Ovis aries: one gene and its partner. The protein of the gene in region 1 interacts with the protein of each later gene in a pairwise test. Links are inferred from orthologs where the notes say so. Each region holds a gene or a part of one and is shown on either strand. Other genes may lie near its edges.

The links.
Region 2: the proteins of FNDC11 (region 1) and GPBP1 interact in binary tests that used the Homo sapiens proteins (3 or more experiments, as listed by UniProt). The link is inferred for Ovis aries from reciprocal best matches to the Homo sapiens genes FNDC11 and GPBP1.

What each region holds. Positions count from the first base shown.
Region 1 is NC_056066.1:53,817,453-53,820,673, reverse strand, and holds FNDC11 (fibronectin type III domain-containing protein 11), read left to right. Parts: upstream 1-1,289; coding exon 1,290-2,291; 3' UTR 2,292-2,407; downstream 2,408-3,221.
Region 2 is NC_056069.1:22,217,092-22,220,915, reverse strand, and holds part of GPBP1 (vasculin), read left to right. Parts: intron 1-1,375; coding exon 1,376-1,543; intron 1,544-1,998; coding exon 1,999-2,186; intron 2,187-3,824. UniProt on the Homo sapiens protein: Functions as a GC-rich promoter-specific transactivating transcription factor.

The DNA of each region.
Region 1 (3,221 bases):
CCTGAGTTTAACAGCAACCTCTCCTGGCTTTTTCCGTGGAGAAACTGGGGCCGTCTGGAAGCACCTCTGACCTGTAGTCCTACCTGGAGCTAAAGCTCCCTCCAGAGGCGGCTTGAATCTGTCCCAACCTTGGGCTACTGGGCTACTGAAGGATGCAGGCCAGCAATCCTAGTCCTGGTCTGTTGCACCTCAGCCCAGACACTGGTGCTGCTGTGCCCAGTGTTGGGTCTGCCGCCTCTGTCCCAGGAAGGTCCTGGCATCTGGGGAGGGAGACCGACTTGGGTCCCAACCTCACTCTGCCCCTTGGGCCTCTCACTCAGCCTCTCAGCTCCCGTTTGTAACTCATCCAACTTTCTGGGTGCTGGACAACCTCAGACCTCCCAGTGAAACCACGGGGTCTGTCTCACTGTCCTTGGGGGTGGCTGGGACCTGGGGCAGCAGCCAGGAATGCTGACCCCCTTTCTCCAAGGAGCCCCAGCCTTGTGGTCAGGACCTGCCAGGCTTGGGAGCACAGCTATGCCCAGCTCTGGGGCGCTCTGGACCCTCCTACAGAGGGGAACCTAGGTGGAGGAGGGGTGCAGAAGGAGATAGACTCTGGGGTCTACACTGGGCTCAAAGCCTGGATTGAGAGCAAACTACCAAGTGTTCTGGGCTCAGGCACCCCATCTGTGAGCAGGGGCACCGATCAGGGGCTTTTCTTATGGGCTCAGGAGGCTCCGTAATGAGGAACAGGCATGATTACTCCTCAGAGCTGAGGCCACCTTGCCTTCTGGGCTGGCCCTGGGCCTCTGCCCTGCACCTGCAGTGGGGTGTGGACAGTCTGCAGGACAGTGGGGTCCCCAGCTGGGGTCTGGTGATGCTCAGACAGGATCACTCTGAATCCTGTCGACAGCTCCAGAGGAGCAGTGTAAACCCCATTCCAGATGGGGCTACACAGCTAGGCAGTGGCTGGATTTTCCAAAGCACAGGCCCAGTGCCCCTGTCTCAGCCCTTCCCTGTGTCATCACAAAAGACCATCAGTAGAGTGTCGGCCCTACAATGTCCACTTTTATCCAGATCTGCAGCCTGCCCACCTGGCCCTCCAAGCAGCCTCTGTCCAGAGAGATGAGCCCTCCTCACAAGCCTCTTCCCGCTCCCACCCCCACCCCCAGAGGCCAGAGAGCCCAGCATGGGGGCCAGTGGGACTGAAGTCACACACAAACACTGCCCTGAGTGGGCCCCGGGTGGGCGGCAGAGGCCAGTCTGAGCATTCCGTTCACGTCCTGCCCTCCGCCCCCTGCTCCTAGACCATGAACTTCCAGGTGACAGGCCTGGGCCTGGACAAAATGAAGCTGGACAGTCCCCAGTCCTTCCTGGAACAGGAGGAGGTAGAGGAGGCCGAGGATGGGCAGCTGCTGGAGCCCGAGGCTTGGCGAACCTATGTGGAGCGCCGCAACACTCTGCAAGAGTTCCTGACCTCAGACCTGAGCCCCCACTTGCTCAAGCGCCACCATGCCCGCATGGAGCTCCTGAAGAAGTGCTCCTACTACATTGAGATCCTCCCCAAGCACCTGGCTCTGGGCGACCAGAACCCACTGGTGCTGCCCACCACCATGTTCCAGCTCATTGACCCATGGAAGTTCCAGCGCATGAAGAAGGTGGGCGCTGCCCAGACCAAGATCCAGCTCCTGCTGCTTGGGGACCTGCTGGAGCAGCTGGACCATGGCCGCTCCGAGCTGGATGCCCTGCTCGAGTCGCCAGACCCTCGGCCCTTCCTGGCAGGCTGGGGGCTCGTGGAGCAGCGCCTGGCGGACCTGTCGGCTGTCATGGACAGCTTCCTGGCCATGATGGTGCCAGGGCGCCTACACGTCAAGCACCGCCTAGTGTCTGACATTGGCGCCACCAAGATTCCCCACATCCGGCTCATGCTGAGCACCAAGATGCCCGTCATGTTTGACCGCAAGGAGTCGGTGGCCCACCAGGACTGGGTCAGCCTGCGCTGGTTTGTCACCATCCAGCAGGCTGTGCCAGAGCAGTTTGAGCTGCGCTACAAGCTGCTGGACCCACGGACACAGCAGGAGTGCATGCAGTGTGGCATTATCCCCGTGGCCGCCTGCGCCTTTGACATCCGAAACCTGTTGCCCAACCGTGCCTACAAGTTCACTGTCAAGAGGGCGGAGAGCTACACGCTGGTGTATGAGCCCTGGAGGGACAGCCTCACCCTGCACACCCGACCAGGGACCCCTGAAGGGCCCGCCCCCAGTAGGCTGGGCAAGCTGGGCCCGTCCCTGATCGCACCTTCCGAGAGATGATTTTCTAGTATTTATCCACTAATAAAGAGGAGTATAAACACACATACACAATTAAAGAAACAGACTTACTTACGTTTTAGAGGTGGTGGCAGCCACATGAGTGTTTTTTCCTGACTCAGCACAGCCCACCCATGAGTCCCGCCCCCTCCAGCTCCTGCTCTCTTTTCCGGCGGGGAGCCCCAGGCTGGCCTTTGCAGGACACTGACCCCTGTAACAAGAAGCCTCAGCTTGCCTGGCACATGGCTGCCACCATCAGCGGTGAGAACGGCTCCAAGGCTCTGGCACCTCCGCCCCAGCCCCTCCCATGTGCCCCCAGCTCCTTCCTATCACAGTGAGCAGCCATGTGACCTGGGAACAGGCTCTGGCCACCTTTCTTGCCTCCTAGGCTGGGGTTTCCCAAGGCAGGTGGATACCCCCAAGTCCTGCCCAAACCTCATTGGAGGCAGTCATGGCCCCATTACTATCTCACCTGTCAAGGCCAGGGGGCCCAACAAGAGCACATTTTATTTTATTTTTAATGAAAAGTATTGTATTCTCCCCAAAAGAAGCTTAAGTTCATCTGCAGCCCCATCCTTAGGTGGATGAGGATCCTAACAAGGGAGACTGGCAGGGTACCCTGCCCAGATCCAGGCCAGTGGGCAACTGAGAGAGTCTGCCCTTGCCTGCCAGTGGTCAGCTCGGCCAGTAGCTTGCTTGCTGCCTGTGCACATACCCACTTCGGGAAGGTGAGGAGGATGCCGGCGGCTACCTGCTCTGGCAACTTGGCCCTGCTCAGGTCCAGGAGGGACGGCATAGTGTACCCTGGCTATGGCTGAAGAAGACTGTTCACAGCAAAAGGCCCAGAGCCGTCCCCAGTACATGGCCAACCAGCCTTCTGTCGCCCACCGTTCACACCAGAGCAGCCACTAGGACTTCAGGCCTCTGGAAGGA
Region 2 (3,824 bases), on another chromosome or scaffold:
TAGGGTGCTTAGGCATCAGTGGTTGCAGCATATGGGCTCAGTAGTTGGAACTCCTGGGCTCTTGATCGCAGGTTCAGTAGTTGTGGTGCACAAGTTGAGTTGCTCCTCAGCATGTGGAATCTTCTGGATCAGGGGTGGAACCTGTGTCTCCTGCTAAGTCTGTGTCCAACTCTTTGTGACCCCATAGATGTAGCCCACCAGACTCCTCTGTCCATGGGATTTCCCTGGCAAAGATATTGGAGTGGTTTGCCATTTCCTCTTCCAGGGGATCTTACTGACCCAGAGATTGAACCCATGTCTCCTGTTTGGCAGGCAGGTTCTTTACCACTGAGCCACCAGGGAAGCCCCAGAAAGAGTAATTTTTAAGAAAAGAATTATGAAAACAGATGTTTTTACTTTTGTCATAAAGTTATGCTATGATATAGGATTAAACCTTGACTAAAAAATCAGGATTTACATACTCTTCTTTTGGGGATGATGGACATTTTCTTAGTATTAACACTCAGGACGGAGAGGAGGAAGAAGAGAGAAAGATGCATGGTTACTGACTTTGAATACTTAATAGCTTACACATTTCTTTCTCATTTGGCCAGCTTTGTGAAACTTCTAGATGAGGGACTTCCCTGACCAGTTCAGGGACAAAAGACACTTGTGACTATATTATAATAACTGAGATTGTTCTGGGTACTATATTGGAATATTATAACCCCCTCATTGACTAGTTCTCAGTCATAGGATTTTAGAGCTGTGCTAGAAGGACCAGCATTCCCAGCTGGTTAATTGTGGCTTCAATTCATTATAGTCTGCAGATGTTATTGCTAAGTTAAGCATTTTGATTTATTCCCAAGGCTTAAAATTCCTGTGACACAGAATTCCAACATTCTTTTTCCTTCTGTAGTCCACTCTCAATATATGAAAAATAAAAAGACTCCAGTACATGTCCCTTTACCACGCTCCTCTGCTCTTCCACAAAACTTCCCTTGTGAAATTCTATATGATAAACCCTTAGTGTACCTGTGCATAAATAATTATACTAGTTCATAGAACCTTCGAACTCTGTGGAACACAGTTTTAAAAACTGCTTTAAAAAATATCTATATATAAATATTTAAACAATTTCAGGATCCATTTTATAAAATAATATTTAAAACTCCTAATTTAGAATCATAGATCTTAGTATTATCAGACTTTGTTTCTCGGATAAGAAAGATCATTCAGTGAGATAGATTAAAAATAATGATAGTAGAAAATAGAATTTAAAATCAATTTTGTTGTATATTGTGAAGAAAGTGAAATAGAAAGTCATTATAGTTGTGAACTTTATGTTGATATTAGTTCTCTATGTATTTATCAACATTCTAAATTTTTTTCCTAGTGTAATCGCTCAAATTCTTCTTCACCTGTTGACAAACTTAATCAGCAGCCTCGTCTAACCAAACTGACACGAATGCGCACAGATAAAAAGAGTGAGTTTTTGAAAGCATTGAAAAGGGACAGAGTGGAAGAGGAACATGAAGATGAAAGCCATGTGGGCTCAGAAAAGGTAATTGAACGTGTAGTGTAATTCTTGGGCTTGACATTAGCATGTCATTGGAATAGTTGGACAGATATTATTTAGAATCTTCGAATATTTTCATATTTCTGAAAGCAAGGCTAGTTAGCTATTTGCATAAATAATGAATTCCTTTCTGAATAGAGTTTTCTTACTCTAGTTGCTGTTCAAAAATGAAATTTAAAAGATTCCTGTTCATATTTGTACTTTTGGTTTTCCCCATCTTGCCTGCCTTTGTCCTTTTAATTTTTGGTTGAATAGATGTGAATACTTGAAGTTAGTAAGTTCCCTTCACAACTTAGTTTTACATCTTATGAAACTGTTTTCTACATGATTATATAAACATCACAGTTATGTTTTATCCATGAAGATCTAACCAGGATCTATTAAAGTTTCCTTTTTTAATAACTATTCTCTAATTTTTTTTTTAACTCTTCAAAAATCAGGATGACGACTCATTTAATTTGCATAACAGCAACAGTACTCACCAAGAAAGGGATATAAACCGAAACTTCGATGAAAATGAAATTCCACAAGAGAATGGCAATGCCTCAGTAATTTCCCAACAGATCATTCGGTCTTCAACCTTCCCACAGACTGATGTTCTTTCTAGTTCACTTGAAGCAGAACACAGGTCGGTGTTTTTACTTTTTTCTCTACCCAAAATTTTGATTTTACATGGAAAATTGATTTCTTTTTTAACAACTTCATCGAGATATAATTTATATACACTCTTAATTTTTTTACTCGGTTCGTTAATTTTGGGTGTATTTGAAGTTGTGTAGCTGTCACCACAGTCAGAACATTTCTTTCACTCCATAAAGAAACCCCATGGTCATTTACAGTTACTCATTGTTACTCTCTTTCCTGGGTAACCACCAGTCTACTTTCAGTAATACTTTCAAGGTACATCCATATTGTAGCATGTGTTTCTCTGAAAATTGAGTGCTATTTATTTTCCATGGCTTCAGATTTTCTGTAAATCTCTTCGGCGGGGAGCGGGGGGAGGGCTGTGGGATCTGTTTCCCGACCTGGGAGCGAACCCAGCCCACAATAGTGAAAGCATTAATCCTAACCACTAGACCACTAGGGACCTCCCTGTAAACTTTCTTAAGTTAACATACATACATAAGTACTCATGTAGCTTGATTTAAAAAGTTAGGTATCAGTGATACAGTTCTCAAGGATGACTTTTTTTGTTCAGATGTGTTAATTAAAATTTAAAATGAAATAATTTGGCATATATATTACTAGTTATCAAGTTTCAGTATACCATCACAATATTGAGGATAGTTTCAACATCAGAGAGGTAATTGTTACCTTGTCTAAGCACCAAATGAATTAATAGAAATGAGTTCCAGAGAAATTCAGAGGAATTTGGGGTTAGATAGCATTATGGCTTGAGTACCAGTTAGAAAGTTTTAATTGGGACCTAAATTAAATCTTAAAGGGTGAGACAATACAAGCAAGGGTACTGGGTAGTCATTTTGAAATGGGGGTATGAAAAGCTGTTTAGAATAGAATACACGCATGTTTGTTTTAGGGCTGATGTATAGCATAACTTGACAATAGTGTGGAGTCCTAAATGGAGTTAGAGATACATTGCAAAGGCAGGGTCTTAGAGATCTAGTCAAACTATCTGAATGCTTTAGATGAAGAAGGAGCTCTGTCTTATACCTGGTTTTTGAGTAGGATTTGTGACTCAGGTCTTCCACTTCTAGTGTTGTGCTTTTTCTAATGTAAGGAATTTGAAGTTGTGGTCATTGTGTGTTATGGAGTTTGCTCTTTTAGGAATTGGGAAGCTGTTGAAAATATTTGGCAGAGGGTGGTAATTGTGAAAGTGATATTAGAGTGATTTGATAATAGTTTGAAAGAGAATGAGAAGAAATGCTAATGAAAAGGCAAAGTACAGATCACTGTTATGATCTGTTCCTAATTGTGGGTTTAGTCCAGAGGCCACAGAGTTTGGTGCAGTGTATATTAACTGGGGAGGCAGAAAACCAGAATTCTGCTGCTTTGCTATCAAGTAGGCAAAATTTTTTACTTACATGATCATGGTTCTTCATCTGTAAAATGTGGGTATAGTGTTTTGTTGTTCAGTTGCCAGGTTATGTCCGAGTTCGCAACCCCATGGACTGCAGCACTCTAGGCTTCCCTGTCCTTCACTGTCTCCTGGAGTTTGCTCAAACTCACGTGCATTGAGTCAGTGATGCCATCCAACCATGTCATCGTCTGGTGCCCCCTTCTCCTGCTTTCACTCTCTCCCAGCATC